Anolis sagrei: one gene and its partner. The protein of the gene in region 1 purifies or fractionates together with the protein of each later gene. This does not show direct contact. Links are inferred from orthologs where the notes say so. Each region holds a gene or a part of one and is shown on either strand. Other genes may lie near its edges. The genes, in order: CDC25C and SUFU.

Region 1 (9,780 bases):
TTTTGAAAATTGAGGTGCGCATTAGATTCAATAGCAAATTAAGACTGGGGTAAATACAGGTACTGTATTTTTTTTTTTTTTTGGCATATAAGACTACTTTTTAACCCAGGAAAATCTTCTCAAAAGTCGGGGGCCATCTTATACACCAGGTGTCATCTTATAGGGCAGGTGCTGAAACTTCCAAGCTGGAATGGAGAATCTGCGATCGCCACATATGGTTGGGGGAGCTCAAAAACAGCTGCGTCTGCATCCCCGCCGTATGCGGCGACTATATGAAAGCAGCAAGTGCGTACGTTGGAAGAAGGGCAGTCTTATATGGCGAGTATATCCAAACTCTATATTTTAACTGGAAAAGTTGGGGATCATCATATATGCCGGAAAATACGGTACTTCTTTCTCCCAACTCAAAATTCTGAAACATCAAACATTTCCTGAACGTATTTATTAGCTAAAATCAATAACTGTAACCTTCTCTGCTTCAACATTTTCAGCAGGTATGCCAGTTTCTATTTGGCAGCCAAGGCTGTTATACATTTAAGCAAACCTACCAAATATCCTAAAGGTGCCAGATCTTTTTTGAGCTTGGAAGCTAAGCAGAGCAAGCCCTGATGAATACTTGGATGGGAGACTACCAATGCCTGGTGTTGTGGGCTCTATTTCAAAGGAAGGAACTGGCAAAACCACCTCTGAGGATTCCTTAAGAAAACCTTATGAGATTCATGGGGTGATGGTAAGTTGACAGGTGACTAGAAGGCACATAACAGAACCAAAGCCAAAGAGGGGCATTGTTGATGTTTATAGCCATGCTATATTCAGCATGGTGAAGTGGTCTATGAACCTAGAGTGGTCTGAGCATTGGAATGAAGTGCAACACTGTCTGAGCTCTGCAAGTGCTGCAGTTTTTGAATGAAACACGAGTGTTTGAAGATCAGGACATTTGTAGGGAGAACAAGATGCTTGTTTACAAAGCTATTGACCGTTTACTGTGAAACATGGACCGTCTACAAATGCCACTCTCAACTTCTGAAAGATTCCATCAGCATTGCCTCAAAAAAAATCTTGCAAATTGCTCGGAAAGACAGGCAGAAAATGTCAGTGTTCTGGCAGAAGAAAAGACTACCAGCACTGAAGTGATGGTCCTCCATCAACTTGGCTAGGCTGGCCACGTTGTTTGAATACCCAGTCACAATCTCCCAAAGTAGTTACTTTAGTCTCAGCTCAAGAATGGAAAACAGAATGTCAGTGGACAGCAAATAAAGATTTAAAGATGGGCTTAAAGCTAATCTTAAAAAAATGTGGAACAAACACAAAAAACTGGGAAGCCCTGGTCCTCAAGCATTCCTCGACTGGAGGTCAGCTTGTTACCAACAGTGCTGTGAATTCAATGAGGTTCAAACAGAAAGCGAAAAGGAGAAATGCACCAAGGAAGGTGCATCAAGCAAACCCTTGCTGTGACCGCCTTCCTGCTGGAAATCTGTGTCCTCGTTGTGAACAACCATGAGCATCCAGAACAGGTGTCTACAGTCAGTTATGGAACCACCACCAAGACTTTACCCTTGGAAGACTATCTTACTCCGCCACAACTGATCACCTATGAATTATTACTCTGAAGACCAGAGTTCAGTTCCCTTTTTGGCCACAGAAAACCCCATGATAAGATCACCATAAGTCAAAAAGAACCTGAAGGCAAACAACAAATATTCATCGTCTTTTTTCATCCTACCCCTATTTTGGTGATCTACTAGTCTATTTCAAAAACAGGTGACATACTAGCAGTGAGCTGCAGCTCTTAAGGTTAGACATTTGTTTTATGAACACCCAATGCATAAGATGATCATCCAAGCAGTTTCCTGTAAATGAGTAACAAGTCGCAGATATTGTGTTGGTCCAGACCAGGGGTCCTCAAACTAAGGCCCGGGGCCCGAATACAACCCTCCAACATCATTTACCTGGCCCTCACTAAGAGTCAACCTAAGTCTGAAACAACTTGAAAGCACACAACAACAACCACAACAACCATCCTATCTCATCAGCCAAAAGCAGGCCCAAACTTCCCACTGAAATACTAGTAAGTTTATATTAAAAATCATTCATTTTAATTATTGTATTGTTTTTAAGTGTGTGTGTGTGGGGGGGGGGGTGTTGCACTACAAATAAGATATGTGCGGTGTGCATAGGCATTCATGTTTGGGAGTTCTAGGCCAAAAAACTCTGTTTAAAAAGTTTGTGGACCCCTGGTCCAGACAATAAAAACAAAATTGAAAAGCCAATTTCCAGACTAACTTTTCACCACTTTTTATATTGTTCATAACAGGAACAAAGCCTTAAATGTAACCATCCTTATGGTGAGAAATGATGCTGTTAAGAAAAGCAAAACTAGAATTAGTCCGAAAGGAGCAGAGGAGCTTCTTACATCCATTCTTTCCACAAGTTAGTGCTTGTTTAAAATGCAGGATGTTTCAAAAAGATGCACCTGATTTGAAATCACGATCTGCTATCAGAAACTACCCATAAATGAAACACTTCCTACTTGAAAAGGTGGGGCATAGAATTTCAAATGATTACTGCTAGGTTCTTCTCCCAATACACAAATAGTCTTTAGCCAGAGTTAGAGGACATTTCTTCTCCTGCAACTAGAAAACAAACATTTACTATTTTGAGCCCCTGCTAAAACCCAATTGTCCAGTTTAGACCAGTGGTTCTCACTCTTTGGTCCTCCAGGTATTTTGGACTAGAGTTCCCAGAATCCCTGACAATAGGCCAAACTGGCTGGGACTTCAGGGAGTTGAAGTTCCAAAGGCATCACAGGTTAAGGCTATTTGGGGCACATGTGTGCATCTATACTATAGAATTAATGCAGTTTGGCTCCACTTTAACCACGATGGCTCAAGACTATGGAAACCTAGGAGTTGTAGTTTTCCAAGATCTTAGGTTTTTTCTACCAAACAGAGCTCTAGAGCCTCACTGAGCTACAGTTCCCATGATTCCATAGCATCAAGCCATGGCAGTTAAAGTGGCCTCAAACTCCACTTATTCCTACAGTGTAGATCAGGTCTGGGCCAACTTGGGCCCTCCAGGTATTTTGGACTTCAACTTCCATCATTCCTAACAGCCTCGGGCCCCTTCCTTTCCCCCCTCAGCCGCTTAAGCGGCTGAGTCACCATGAGTCACCTTCGGCTTTGAGAAAGGCGGGATAGAAATATCATAAATAAATAAATAATAGAGTTTGCCTATGCCTGGAGTAGATGCACCTCAAAACTAGGGGGAAAAGGGAAGAGGAGGGGGGCAGGGGGCAGTTCCACCTTGTCTCCTGTGCTATGCTAATAATATAATATATAATATAATATTGGGTTGTTGTAGGTTTTGTTGGGATATATGGCCATGTTCTAGAAGCATTTTCTCCTGATGTTTCGCCTGCATCTATGGCAAGCATCCTCAGAGGTAGTGAGGACCTCACTCCTCTGAGGATGCTTGCCATAGATGCAGGTGAAACGTCAGGAGAAAATGCCTCTAGAACAGGGGTCCTCAAACTTTTTAAACAGAGGACCAGGTCAGTCTGTCAAACTGTTGGAGGGCTGGATTAGAATTTGAAAAAAAAATGAATTCCTATGCACACTGCACATGTGTTATTTGTAGTGCAAAAAAACCCAAACACTTAAGACAATACAATATTTAAAATGAAGAATAATTTTAACAAATATAAACGTTTTAGTATTTCAATGGGAAGTGTGGGCCTGCTTTTGGCTCATGAGATAGGATTATTGTTGTTGTTGTTGTTGTGTGCTTTCAAGTCATTTCAGACTTAGGTTGACCCTGAGCGGGAGCCTTGGAGGGCCGCATCTAGCCCCCAGGCCTTAGTTTGAGGACCCCTGCTCTAGAACATGGCCATATAGCCCGAAAAACCTACAACAACCCAGCGATGCCAGCCATGAAAGCCTTCGAGAATACATTAATATAATATTATTCATTTATTTATTTACCATTTTTATATACTGCTCTTCTCAGCCCATGGGTGACTCAGGGCAGTATAATATAATATAATGTAGACTAACAGAATATTTATAATAATATAATGTAATGCAATATACTACTATTTATTTATTTATTATTTATTTATCGTGTCAGGGGCAACCAGATAATTGTATTACATTTCTAACAGAACAAAAGCAAACAAACAAACAGACAAATAACAAAATTGGCAGGTTTGGTAGTTGATTAAATGTCCTTTGACCAGTATCTGGTCACTTGGAGTGCCTCTGGTGTTGCTGCAAGAAGGTCCTCCATTGTGCATGTAGCAGGGCTCAGGTTGCATTGCAGCAGGTGGTCAGTGGTTTGCTCTTCTCCATAATTATAATAATATGATATTATAATTAAATATTTATATTACATGTAATTACTAATGTTGTTGTTGTTCATTTGTTCAGTCGTCTCCGACTCTTCGTGACCTCATGGACCAGTCCACGCCAGAGCTCCCTGTCGGCCGTCACCACCCCCAGCTCCTTCAAGGTCACTCCAGTCACTTCAAGGATGCCATCCATCCATCTTGCCCTTGGTCGGCCCCTCTTCCTTTTGCCTTCCACTTTCCCCAGCATAATTGTCTTCTCTAGGCTTTGCTGTCTCCTCATGATGTGGCCAAAGTATAATGGTGTAGTACAATATAGTAATATTTAATACTGAAATTGTACTATGCTAATAACATAATATAGTGTATCTGTATATGTGTGTGTGTGTGTGTATGTATGTATCTATATATATATATCTTGTAAACCACTCTGAGTCCCCTTCCGGGTGAGAAGGGCGGCATATAAATGTCGTAAATCAATAACTATCTTCCCTTAGCCCTGTTTAGGACTGCTAGGCTGCCTCTCCTTCCACAGTCTGTTACCTGCTGCTCCCGGGAGCCCAGCTCTCAGTCCCAATTCGTCCACACTGCATCATCCACCAAGAACATCACCGGCGTAGTTCTAAGGAGTCTGTCTCCACCTCCACGGTTTAAATCTCCCTCCTCGTGAAAGGCAGGGCGGAGCCTGGAACGCATCTCCAACCAATCGCATCGGGTTGGGTAAGTCCTCTGTTCAGTGATTGGCTGGACTGGATCAGGTTGGCTATCCTCCACCGCCGAAAAATAACAAAAAGGATCAGGAAGTCCCCGCCTACCGCGGCTTCTTCCAATAAGCTTTTCCACGCGCCCTCCTCCTTGACGTCACTGCGAGCATCGGACCAATGAGAAAGCTGTTGAAAGGACAGCCGGAGCTTTTCTTCTTCTGGGCTTCGCTGATTGGCTGGGAGGGCGGAGGGCGTGGCTTGTGATTGGTTGATGTTAGGGCGGCAAATTGAATAGTCTGACATTCAATTGTGTTCTTGACGGGAAGGGCGGGGTGGGTCAGTTTGTCCACAAGGAAGGGGGGACTTTTTGAAGGACTTGTTGAGACTGCGCGGAACTGGGGGCTGCCAATTCGTATTGCTGTCTTAATTGCAGAACCTGCAGCCAGCCAGCCTTGTTAGTGGACAAGATCCAACGGGTTTGACTTTTCTAAAGCACCACTGACACCCCTTAAGGTGGGTTTCGACCATATAATACCTTTTATCTCTGTAGCTGGACATAGGTTCACCTACACCTAGAATTAATTCAGTTTGAAACCACTTTAATTCTCCTGGACCACTGCTATGGAGTTCTGGGATTTGTAGTTTGTTGAGGCACCAGCTCTCTTGGTAGAGAAGGCTAAAAGTGTGCAAAACTACACCTCCCATGATCCCATAGCATCGAGGAATGGCAATTAAAGTGGTGTCAAACTGCATTAATTTTATAGTATAGATGGGTATGAGCAAACTTTGGCCCTCCAGGTGTTTTGGACTTCAACTCCCACAATTCCTGGCCTCAGGCCCCTTCCTTTCCCCCCTCAGCTGCTTAAGCTTAAGCGGCTGAGGGGGGAAAGGAAAAGGCCTAAGGCCAGGAATTGTGGGAGTTGAAGTCCAAAACACCTGGAGGGCCGAAGTTTGCCCATGCTCAGTATAGATGCATTCGTGGTTCTAGTGCTTGTGCTGTTTCTTTCTGTTTATACAGGTTGAATCATCCTTATCTGAAATACGTGGCAACAGAAGCATTTCATATTTTAGGATATTTACATATACATAATGAAATATCCATGCAGTCATGCTAGCCACATGACCTTGGAGGTGTCTATGGACAACGGCGGCTCTTCGGCTCAGAAATGGAGATGAGCACCACACCCCAGAGTCAGACATGACTGGACTTAATGTCAGGGGACAACCTTTACCTTTTAATGAAAGATCTTGGTGACGGGGCCCAAACTTAAACACAAAATTCATTTATATTTTATGTGTACTTTTACACACATAGGCAAAAAGGAACTTTATATGCAATTATTGTAAAATAAAAATAACTTTGTGCATGAAACAAAGTTTGTGTACATTGAATCAATGTCAGAAAAAGCAAAGGTGTTGCTATCTCTGCCACCCTGGTGGGCCTTTTTGGATTTTAGAGGATTATGAAATTTTAGACAAGGGATGCTCAAACTGTATTTTGCCTTAAATGGTGTCAAAGGAGCAGAACAATGTACTGTCAGGGGAATTATTTTTGCTAATTTAGTGCATGAGAAAAAGTTTGTTTCAGGAAGAACAGATGTCCCTGTCTCAGCCACCCGTGTGGACAATTTTGGAAGATTTGGGTTTTTTGAATATGGAATGCTCAATCTGTAGTAGGGGGGAAAGGAGTAATAGTAAGTTGTGTATATGTCTGTCTTCAGGTGTCTGCTCATCATGTCAGAGAGCATTCCTCCCACTGAAGCGGATGTGCTTCGTTCAGACCTTGGGTTTCGATCTGGCTGCAGGACGGTGCTTAATACTTTCCGGGAATCAGAGATCTCTCCACCTCTTTCTCCACAACTACCTCTTACTCCAGTCTTGAGTATAACCTGGGATTTTGGGAACCTCAGCACACTAGGAGGGTAAATATGTTCAGGGCAGTTATGTGGAATGGAAAATACAGTCAGCTCTTTGTATCCATGGATTCTGCATCCACAGGTTCCAAGATCTTGATTTTGCCATTTTAGATAAACCTTGATTTTACTGCGCCATTGTATATAATGCAGTGGTTCCCAACCTTTTTTGACCAGGGACCACTCTCCAACATTAATACCAAAAGGGTTACAAATCAGTTTTTGGTCAACTTTAGATTCAGTTTGGTTATTTGGGGTGCTGATTCAGAAAATTGCATTGAATAGTCCACATCAGCTCTAGTTCCTGGTACAGAACATACGCCATCCAGTAGTTGCCATCTGCTCACCCACAGAAAACCATATTTAATAAGCCTCGGTACTATAAGAGGGTTTCAAGAGACCAGTCACTCTCATTGCAACTGTGCAGACCACTGGTGGTCCACGGATCACAGGCTGGGAACCACTGATATACTGGAACTTGAGATCCACAAATTTTGGTATTCATGCAGGGTGGTTGGCAAATATGACTCCTATGGGCCAGTGGAAACTAGACACTCGATCTCCTAACCTAGGTTCTGGTCCAGCACTGCCAGAGCCAAAACACACTGGAGTTCTATACACTGTGTTTCTATCTACTTATTCCTTTCACTATATTTTTGCAGGGACACTCCAAGACGCTGCCTAGATCTTTCCAATCTCAGTAACGGGGAAGAGGAAATTGTCTTCAACTTCAGCCAGTCCTCAAAAACTTTGGAAAATGGTAATAATCACTTCCAGAAACACAGTTCTGATACTATCTGCTATTTAATCATTTCCACAATAAATATAACTGTGCAACTACACTGCAGATTTAATGTAGTTTGACATCACAATAATCATGGCTCAGTGCTATTGAAACATGGAAGCTGTAGTTCTGCAAGGTCTTTAGCCTTCTCAGCCAAAAAGTGATGGTGCCTCAGCAAACTACAAGTCCTATGATTCTTTAACATCAAGCCATGGTAGTTAAAGTGATGTCAACTATTATTTCTATAGTGTCGATGCACCTAATGGTAATATATTTTCTTATCACAAGTCTTGTCAACCAGCTCATCTTTTTCAACCCCTTCTGATAAGTTTATTTATTATTTATTTATTTACAGTATTTATGTACCGCCTTTCTCACCCCGGGAGGACTCAAAGCAGTTTGCCATAAATCAGAAATGACCTTAAGACACTCAAGGTCAACCTGAGTTATTGTCTCTTAATCTCCTGCCTAATCCTGGTAATGTGACTTTCCACAGGAATTAGAGCCTTCACTTTCCTCTTTCTATTCAAAGCATATTGTAAAAAAAAAAAAAATCCAGCTTCAGCGAAGTACTTTGTTTTGGATTACCTTTATACCATTGTCTATCAGTAAATAGTTTGCAGATGTATTTGAAACGCTTCAGGTGAGATGTGAACCACCAGTAAGCTTTCTTTGATGCTGTCCTTTTTCTTGCTTTCCCTGGTAATTCCATGAATAAATAGCTAACCTAGGAGTATCCAGATGTTTTAAATACAGTACCAGCCAATCCGGCCAGTAGTTGGAGATTATGAGACGTATAGTCCAGAACATCTGAAGGATACCAAGTTGCATTTGTAGACATAGGCACTGTTTTGACATTTATCCCATCAGCTGTATTTTACTCCTGACTCCTTCCTTTGTTGTTTTGCTGACTTCTTTCCCTCTTGTTGCAGATCAGAAGGACTCAGGAGAACTTCAGGATCTACTGTAAGATCTGCCTACACATTTTAGAGCACATCTTGATTCCATATATATTCTGCTAACCAATGTTGTTTAATTTATCAGAGTTTATGGCTAAAAATTCAGTGAAAATCTCTTTGATGGCACCTGCAATGCCAGCCTACCTGGGGGTGGGCAGCAATGACCCTCCAGATATTTTTGTGTAAATGCAGTTACCATCATTGCTGGCCAGCATAGCTATTAGTGAAGGATTATGGGAGCTAGAATCCAAAAATATCTGAAAGGACACAATTACCTGTGCTACTGAGGGCTTGTTTTTTGCTAAGTTAGTCAGCATAAGAATAAAGTGAGTATTGAATTTTATTTTATGTGCCACCTTTTGATCAACTTGAGATATCATTGTTATATTTATTATATTTATTAATATTCAGCTTTTCTCCTAAAATTGGGACTCAATGAGACTTAAAATTTTAAACACAATAAATTTTAAAACATGTCGTATCATCCCATGTCCATGAGGGATATGTTCCCAGACTTTGTGTGGATATGTGGATCCATGGATATTATTGAACAGAATCGAAATTAAGGACCAAAGGGTCAAGAATACCATAGAGTCATTCATGATGTTCTGGAAAATGACTAGAGATGACATCTTTTGTTGGATGTGGATAATGATACAGTGGATATCTGTCCCGTGGATCTGGGGGTCATAATGTACAAAAAAGTAAACATTAAATAAGGTTACATTTTTGACAATATTAAAATGATTTAAAGGTATACTTAAAAACACAATTAAAAGATTTTAAAAATCAGCTAAAATAGTTCAGGCTAAACAAACAAGCAGTAGTTGCTCTGGGTTGCAGAGAGTTTTCTGGGCTGTATGGCCATGTTCCAGAAGCATTCTCTCCTAATGTTTCACCCACATTTATCCTCAGAGATGGTGAGGTCTGTTGGAAACTATGAAAATTGGGTTTATATATCTGTGGAATGCCCAGGGTGGGAGAAAGAACTCTTGTCTGCTTGAGGCAAGTGTGAATGTTGCAATTGGCCCCCTTGATTAGCATTGAATAGCCTTGCAGCTTCAAAGCTTGGCTGCTT
Region 2 (9,529 bases), on another chromosome or scaffold:
TCAGACGAGCTCGGTAGCAGGGCGCATGCGCGGCAGGGACTGCAGCGCAAGGCATGCCGGGGAAGCGAGTCTCAGAGGGGGAAAACTAAGCCCCGCCCATTTCCCTTTGCCTGAAACAAAAACAGAGGCCACCATTTCATTCTATGTCATTTCAGAGTGACAGGAAGCAAAGTGTATAGCGAACCATCACAAAGCAAATAAACACAGAAAGTTAAGCTAATGATGGATACTATTAAAGTAAAAAAATACAAATAGCATTACTAATAATAATAATAATAATAATAATAATAATACACACTAAGATAATGGACAACAGCTGCTTGGGTTGCATCTACACTGTAGAATTAATGCAGTTTGACCTTAACTATAGAATAGTTACAACAGCAAAACAACAGGGGAAACAGTCAGGCACATCTAATCACCTCTCAGCAAAAGATTGCCCCAGGCACTGCTAGGCCATCAAATGCTAATCAAGGTGGTCAGTTGAAACATTCACACCTAGCTCCAGCAGACAAGAGTCCTTTGTCCCACCCTGGTCATTCCACAGATATATAAATCCTTTTTTCCTAGCTCCAACAGACCTCACTACCTCTGAGGATGCTTGCCATAGATGCAGGCGAAACATCAGGAGAAAATGCCTCTAAAACATGGCCATATAGCCCAAAAAAACCGCTACAAGAACCCAACATTAAGAATATTAAATGAGGTGGATCAACCTGTTGCACTGTTACTGATTTATTCATGTTCAGCTCTATTTTTGTCACCAACATGAATTGCATTTTTAAATACTGATTGTACTATTATTAACTGCTTGTCGCACAGTTCAGAAACAATCTAGGTTTCATACATGTCTCCTATTTATTTATTTATAATATTGCATTGCAAAGAAGTCATTATACAAACACATTCCAGACGATGCATGTTGGGCTTGCTACTATGCTAATAATGTAGTATGTTGTATGTACATATGACTTTGTAAGCCGCTCTGACTCCCCTTCGGGGTGAGAAGGGTGGCATATAAATATCATAAATAAATAAATAAATAAATACGTGTCACCTATTTATAGTATTGCATTGCAAAGAAGTTTGTTTCTTGGTTACATCCCGTCTAGACTACTGCAACGCTCTCTACGTGGGGTTGCCTTTGAAGACGGCTCGGAAGCTCCAACTAGTCCAACGCTCGGCAGCCATGATACTAACAGGAGCGGAGCGCAGGGAGCATACAACTCCTCTGTTGCACCAGCTCCACTGGCTGCCGATTTGCTACCGGGCTCAATTCAAAGTGCTGGCGTTGGCCTATAAAGCCCTAAACGGTTCGGGCCCAAGTTACCTATCCGAACGTATCTCTGCCTACAAACCCACCAGGACTCTAAGATCTTCTGGGGAGGCCCTGCTCTCGATCCCGCCTGCATCACAAGCACGGCTGGCGGGGACGAGGGACAGGGCCTTCTCTGTGGTGGCCCCTCGGCTGTGGAACGCTCTTCCCATGGACATTAGATCAGCTCCTACATTAATGGTGTTTCGAAGAAAACTAAAAACCTGGCTGTTTGAACAGGCATTCGGATAAACAGTGCAATGAATACGATGAATATAGGAACGGAATTATGGACGACGAATTGGATCATGATTCTAGCTACGAGATGTTAATGTGTTGTTATTGATGTGTCATCACTTTGTATACTATGCTGTTAATGGTTTTTAAATTGTATGTTGTTATGATTGTCTTTTGGCTCTTGTTGTGAACCGCGTTGAGTCGCCTACGGGCTGAGCAACTGCAGCATACAAGCAAAGTAAATAAATAAATAAATGTTTTTTTTTTCGTGTCAGGAGCAACCTGAGAAATTGCAAGTCGCTTCTGGTGTGAGAGAATTGGCCGTCTGCAAGGACGTTGCCCAGGGGACACCCGGATGATTTTGATGTTTTATCATCCTTGTGGGAGGCTTTTCTCATGTCCCCACATGAGGAGCTGACGCTGATATAGGGAGCTCATCCGCCTCTCCCCGGATTCGAACCTGCGACCTGTTGGTCTTTAGTCCTGGCAGCATTGCAAAGAAGTTATACAAAGACATTCCAGCCAATGCATGTTGGGCTTGACCGCTGATGGTTTATAACTTTAACTTTGTCTTTTCATTTGGAAAATAAAGTAATCTCTATGACCTTAACATTGTATTACACAACAGATGAAACATGTCTTTTCTAAAATATCTTCTGTCTTAGACTCTCATAAGCCATTGCAATGTGAAACAACTTGAAATCGCATTATTTGATCAGCTTAGACTTATATATAATGCAATGCCATGCAATGCAGCTTGAAATTGCATTATGTGTTCAGTGTGGATTCATATATAATGCAGTGCCATGGAATACAACTTGAAATGGCATTATATGGTCAGTGTAGATTCATATATAATGCAGTGCCATACAATGCAGCTTGAAATGGAATTATATAGTCAGCATAGACTCATATATAATGCAGTGCCATGCAATGCAGCTTGAAACAGAATTATATAGTCAGCGTAAACTCATATATAATGCAGTACCATATAATGCAGCTCGACAAGGCAGAGTGTGGACTCATATCTAAGCCAGTGCCATGTAATACAACTTGAAACAGCATTATATGGTCAGCATAGACTCATATATAATGCAATTCCATGCAATGTAGCTTGAAGCAGAATTATATGGTCAGTGTAGTCACATATAATGCAGAACGGCATTATATGAGTCTACCCTGATTGTATAATGCTGTTTCAAGTTGTATTATATGGCACTGGTCAATGTAGACTCATAATGCAGTGCCATGTAATACAACTTGAAATAACAGTATATGGTTGGTGTAGACTCATAATACAGTTTTGCAATATATGAGTCTACACTGAACATGTAATACTGATCAAGCTGCATTACATGGCAATGAAGATGGAGCCCTGAATGAATTTAATTGTTACAGTCACAGACCAAAAGTGTGAAACTTTAAAATTTTAAAAACAGTTTTTTTATTGTTAACACTAAGAACAAAAATTTACAACATTAAAAGTAGGAAGTCTGTGGGTAAAAAAATTAATAAAATAAAACTTTTTCTGCTAAAATAATCTGCTTCCTTATTTTTATAACTGCCGCACAAAACTTAGCCACGCTATAATGAGTGGTGGATCTCTATCCTCTAGGAGATGTTTTAGATAATAGTCTTTTAGAAAACAAGTCTAGAAAATCTCCTTCTCGGCTACAACATTTCTGAGTTGAATTCTGCCTTGGACATGGATCAGTGGCAATTAAGACCCTTTCTATGCAGCCATATAATCCAGATTATCAAAGCACATAATCCAGATTATCTGCTTTGAACTGGATTATATGTGTCTACACTGCCATGTAATGCAGTTCAAGGCAGATAACCTGGATTTTATATGGCAATGTAGAAGGGGCACTACTAGACTTAATGTTGGACACTACTAGAATTAATGTCAGGACAAACCTTTACCTTTACCTTTTATTTACTTATTTATTTCACATATTTGTATCCCGTCCTTCTCACCCCTGGAGGGGGACTCATGTCGGCTTCACAACCGGCATTTATTCAATGCCAACAACAGTAATAAGTGATAAAAGCAATTAAAACAGTTTGTTAATGCTTTAAATTTACTAAAAATTGTTTAAATCACACAGGTTGAAATCATAGTCCAGTTCAGTCCATTGTCATTCACACAAATTGGGACTCATTCTACATTGCTGCCTCTACGTGAATGAATTCCTATGCACACTGCACATATCTTATTTGTAGTACAAAAAAAATAATTAAAATGAAAAACAATTTTAATATAAACTTATTAGTATTTCAATGGGAAGTGTGGACCTGCTTTTGGTTGGTAAGATTGTTGTTGTTGTTGTTGTTGTCTGCTTTCAAGTCGTTTCAGACTTAGGTTGACCCTGAGCGAGGGCCAGGTAAATGACCTTGAAGGGCCGTATTCGGCCGTCGAGCCTTAGTTTGAGGACCCCTGATCTAGACACTATATTCCTATGGAGACATGCCAAAATCTCATTGGCTTTTTTTGCCCTCACATCACATTGTTGGCTCATAGAATCATACAGTTGGGAGAGACCTCATGGGCCACCCAGTCCAACCCCCTGACAAGCAGGTATATTGTATTCAAAGCACCCTTGACAGATGGCCATCCAGCCTCTGTTTAAAAGCTTCCAAAGAAGGAGCCTCCACCACAATCCGGGGCAGAGAGTTCCACTGCTGAACGGCTCTCACAGTCAGGAAGTGACTGTGTTCCTAATGTTCAGGTGGAATCTCCTTTCTTGTAGTTTGAAGCCAAGTCTCCAGGGCAGCAGAAAACAAGCCTGCTCCCTCCTCCCTATGGCTTTCCCTCACATATTTGCTGTCACATCAGCACTTTTAATCCTGTACCCATTACTCTGGCCCGGCCCAGTTTTATTGTGTCTTAGTGTCTTAGTTTATTGCTTGTTGTTTATATTGCTTTAATTGTTTTTAATTTGCCTTAGGTTTTGCATTGTTGCATTGTGTGTGGAGGCCTTGGCCTTGTAAGCCGCATCGAGTCCTTCAGGAGATGCTGTTGTTCATTCGTTCAGTCGTCTCCGACTCTTCGTGACCACATGGACCAGCCCACGACAGAGCTCCCTGTCGGCCGTCACCACCCCCAGCTCCTTCAAGGTCAGTCCAGTCACTTCAAGGATGCCATCCATCCATTTTGTCCTTGGTCGGCCCCTCTTCCTTTTTCCTTCCACTTTCCCCAGCATAATTGTCTTCTCTAGGCTTTGCTGTCTCCTCATGATGTGGCCAAAGTACTTCAACTTTGTCTCTAGAATCCTTCCCTCCAATGAGCAACCGGGCTTTATTTCCTGGAGGATTGACTGGCTGGATCTTCTCGCAGTCCAAGGCACTCTCAGCACTTTCCTCCAGCACCACAGCTCAAAAGCATCGATCTTCCTTCGCTCAGCCTTCCCTAAGGTCCAGCTCTCACATCCGTAGGTTACTACAGGGAAGACCATGGCTTTGACTAGGCGGAGATGCTAGCGGGGTACAAATAAAGTTTAATAATAATAATAATAATAACAATATTTATACATCACCATCATGTCTCCTCTCAGCCTTCTTTTCTTCAGGCTAAACATGCCCAGCTCTTCAAGCTGCTCCTCATAGGGCTTGTTCTCCAGACCCTTTCTCCTTTCTCATTTCATGTTTAACTTGTTGTCCACGAGGACTCCAAGATCTTTTTCACACGCACTGTTCTCGAGCCACGCGTCCCCCATTCTGTATCTTGACAGATATATCTTCATTTCTGCCAGGGATCTGCTGTATAATGGGAGTAATACAAAACAGAGATGGAGCCCTGCTTTCAGTGAACTAGTGAGGAAGGCATGCCTTGCAACGCCTCCCCACTGCCGCTAGGGGTCAGTCACGCAGAAAGGGTGTGTGGAAGAGGAAGGCGGGGCGCGTTGGATCCTCGGAGGACATTCGCCGCGTCGCGATTGGCGGAGCCGCTTGCCCATCAAAGGCGCGGGAGGCGGGAGGAAAGAAAGGGGGATGTCGATGGAGAGCGCGTCTCCTGCCTGGGGTCGCTGAGGGGAGTCTGGAGCCTCCGTTTGGGCCTCGGCTTCCGTGGAGGGGGCTGAGGCGGGCGTGCTTCCTCCCTCCTTCGCTCCTTCCCTCATGGAGACCTCAGCGACCGCCTCTGCCACCTCGGGCCCCACGCCGGGCCCTTTCCCCCCGCTCTTCCCGCCGGGGCTGCACGGGATCTATGGAGAGTGCCGGCGCCTCTACCCGGAGCAGCCCAACCCGCTGCAGGTCACCGCCATCCTCAAGTACTGGTGAGTCAGGCCTCGGGAAGGGGCAGACAAAGGCCCGAGGGGCCTCCACAGGCGCCCCCTTCGCTCAGGCTGCGTCTGGGCCAGCCTGGGCCCTCGAGGTGTTTTGGACTCCAACTCCCACCATTCCTAACAGCCTCAGGCCCTTTCCTTTCACCCCTCAGCCGCTTAAGCGGCAGAGGGGTGAAAGGAAGGGGCCTGAGGCTGTTAGGAATGGTGGGAGTTGGAGTCCAAAACACCTCAAGGGCCCAGGCTGGCCCATGCTTACTTTACACTATAGAATGAATGAGGTTTGACACCACTTGACCTGTATTTTCTGTTGGTCATGGAGGTTTCTGTATAGGAAGTTTGGCCCAATTCTATCCAGGTGAACTATAAATCCCAGCAACTACAACTCCCAAATGTCAAGCTCTATTCCCCCCAAACTCCACCAGTGTTCACATTTCACATATTGAGTATTCGTGCCAAGTTTGGTCCAGATCCATCATTGTTTGAGTCCAAAATACTCTCTGGATGGAGGTGATCTACAACTCCGAAACTCAAGTGTCCACCAAATCCTTCAAGTATTTTCTGTTGGTTGTGGGAGTTCTGTGTGCCAAGTTTGGTTCAATCCCTTCATTCAATTGGTTCAATTCCATCCTCTTCGATTGTAGTTTAACCACAAAGTGCTGGTTTTTACCTATAAAGCTCTTTATGGTTCTGGATCAGCTTAGTTGTCCGAACGCATCTGCCTCTACGTCCCACCTCGTAACTCATCCAGGGAGGCCCTGCTCTCCTTCCAGCCAACATCGCAAACATGGACAAGAGACAGGGCCTTCTCGGCTGTAGCCCCCTGCCTGTGGAACGCTCTTCCAAATGAAATAGGATCGACTCCATCCCTCCTGGCGTTCAGGAAAAAATTAAAATCTTGTTTTTGGGACTAGGCTTTCGGACAATAAACATAAAGCAGCACTTTGACTGGAAATGGATTGGTAAGGCCATATGTATGAGGATATGGTTTTATGGTTCTATCAGTGGGTTCATGGACTGAGTATTGTTTTAATGACTTATGATAATTTGGTTATAATTAACTGCTATTGTTTTAACTCTGTATGTATTTGTGGTTTTATACTGTGTTATTGATTGTGGCATCAAATTGCTGCCTTTGTTAGCTGCTCTGAGTCCCTCCCCCCCCCCCCCGGGGTTGAGAAAGGTGGGGTAAAAATGCAGTAAATAAATAAATAAAATAAACAAACTATAAGTCCTAGCAACAACAACTTGCAGGTGACATAATCAATGCCCCCCCTCCCCCAACCTCACCAGTATTCGAATTTGGGCATGCCAGGTATGAGTGCCAAATTTGATCCAGTGAATGTAAATACATCCTGCATATCGGATACTTACATTACGATTCATAACACTAGCAAAATTACAGTTATGAAAGTACCAACGAAAATAATTTCAGTCGTGGGATCACCGCAATATGAGGAACTGTATTAAGGGGTCGTGGTGTTAGGAAGGTTGAAAAACACTGGTGTAGATGCACACTTGGATTTCTAAAGTGACCAAAAGTTGTTTTCTATTTATGGGAGGGAGGATCTTTTGGAAAGCTCGAGGAAGTGCTTTGAATTCATGGCTGCTGGTGGTGTTTGATTGGGAGGGGGTTGTTTTGATGGAGACATTGAGGGGTTTGAGGATAGAGGGGTCAGCAAGAAAGCTTACATACTTATATTTCTTCTTACATATTGTTGTCCACATTGCTCCCCCCCCCCCCCGATGGTTAAACTGCTGAGCTGCTGAACTTGCAGACCGAAAGGTTGGTGGTTTGAATCCGAGGAGTGGGGTGAGCTCCCACTATTAGTCCCAGCTTCTGCCAACCTAACCGTTTGAAAACATGCAAATGTGAGTAGATCAATGGACTGCTTCTGCAGGAAGGTAACGACACTCCATGCAGTCATGTCAGCCACATGACCTAGGAGGTGTCAGTGGACAACGCCGGCTCTTCAACTGAGAAATTGAGATGAGCACCAATCCTCAGAGTTGGACACGACTGGACTTAATGTCAGGGGAAAACCTTTACCTTTGCATATTGTTGTCTGTATGTGGCATTTGAAGTGCTTCTGTGAGCTGCCCCAAGTCCCTTTGGGGAGATATTGGCAATTAGATTTTCTACTTTTATATTTTATACAGATTTTAGTTGCTGAATGTGTTTTTTAGGAGGCTTGATTGATAAGAAGTTTTAGTTAATGTTGTTTTATTTGTGTATTTTTAATCTGTTCATTTTAATTGGTTTGTCAGTTTGTTTTATCTTGTTACTGCACATTTATGTATTTATTTATTTACCATATTTATACCCTGCCCTTCTTAACCCAGAGGGGACTCAATGTGACTTACATATAGGCAACTATTAAGTGCCTTAGAGCAGCATACAATGAAAATAAAAATTTAAGATTGAAATTAATACACATTAAACAGGTAAAAACATTACATCCATTACGAAAACCACGCCATCCACAATTGTAATCTGGGACTATCCAGTAGTCTTTCTGTAAAGACTTTCTGTATATTTATGTCTTTATTTTGCATATTTCTATCCCATCCTTCTCACCCAGAAGGGGGGACTCAGGGTGGCTTGCAACAGGCAACCATTTCATGCCATCAAACAGATTCATAAATAACAATTGCAATTAAAACAGTAATTAAAATGTTAAATTATTAAAGCATTCATTGAAAATCACACACATTCAAATCCTAGTCCAGGTCAAACCCATTGCCAGTAACATAGGGTCAGTATCAATCTCAATTGCTGCATCTATTGTTTGAAGGCTTGGCCCCATAACCATGTTTTAAGTTATTTTCTTAAAGTTACGGATAGGAGGAAGGGGACTGATCTGATGTCACTAGAAAGCGAGTTCCACAGATGAGGGACCACCACTGAGAATGTCCTGTCTCTCTTCCTCACCAATCGTGTTTGCGAGGATGGTGGGACTGAGAGCAGGGCCTCTCCCCACAATCTTAACCTTCACGGTGGTTCGTATTTGTAGTGAGAGATACAGTTGGGCAGGTAAACTGTATATATTTCAGATTTCAATATTAATGGCAAAAATATGTAGTATGATTTTACATAGGATCTGTACTACATTAGAACAGTAAAGACAAATATCACTTATGTAAAATAAACAGTAAATATTAAATAACAAAAAAAGGTGAAAGTCATTTCACATGTTTCATATCCTTCTATTGCGCTTGTTTGAAGGCTTGATTCCAAAGCCACAATTTCTCTCTTTCTGAAGGCCAGGAAAGAGGGGGCTGATCTTATATCACTGGGAAGGAAGCTCCACGGCTGTGGGACCACTAATGAGAATGCCCTGTCTCTCATTCCCACCAGTCATACCCACGAAGGAGTTGGAACAGAGCAGGGCCTCCCCTGACAATCTTAATCTCTAAGGCGGTTCATAGGGGGAGATGTGTTAGGACAGGTAAGCTGGGCATGGCATTGAATGTTTGCAAATTTGTGTTTTGAAAGTCACCCAGAGTCCCCTTGGGGAGGGTTAAAAATAAAGTTTGTTTTATTATTATTACACTACTAAAAGGGGGTGGCGACTGTGGTATTTATTTGGAAAAAAAAATCATTTTATTGAATACACAACCAACAAATATACAAAAAAAATCCATACAATATCAATATAAACACACCAAACACACTAAAGCAATACCGATCAAA

The links.
Region 2: the proteins of CDC25C (region 1) and SUFU purify together in Homo sapiens (affinity purification with mass spectrometry; 4 studies listed by BioGRID and IntAct, counting the BioPlex papers as one, with this or other methods). This does not show direct contact. The link is inferred for Anolis sagrei from reciprocal best matches to the Homo sapiens genes CDC25C and SUFU.

Annotation. Positions count from the first base shown.
Region 1 is NC_090022.1:76,158,121-76,167,900, forward strand, and holds the start of CDC25C (M-phase inducer phosphatase 3), read left to right. Parts: upstream 1-5,329; 5' UTR 5,330-5,559; intron 5,560-6,767; 5' UTR 6,768-6,780; coding exon 6,781-6,968; intron 6,969-7,621; coding exon 7,622-7,719; intron 7,720-8,675; coding exon 8,676-8,709; intron 8,710-9,780. Other genes in the region: oocyte-specific histone RNA stem-loop-binding protein 2-like, read right to left, coding at 4,886-4,938. UniProt on the Homo sapiens protein: Functions as a dosage-dependent inducer in mitotic control. Tyrosine protein phosphatase required for progression of the cell cycle. When phosphorylated, highly effective in activating G2 cells into prophase.
Region 2 is NC_090023.1:215,057,276-215,066,804, reverse strand, and holds the start of SUFU (suppressor of fused homolog), read left to right. Parts: upstream 1-5,500; 5' UTR 5,501-5,671; coding exon 5,672-5,829; intron 5,830-9,529. UniProt on the Homo sapiens protein: Negative regulator in the hedgehog/smoothened signaling pathway. Down-regulates GLI1-mediated transactivation of target genes. Down-regulates GLI2-mediated transactivation of target genes. Part of a corepressor complex that acts on DNA-bound GLI1.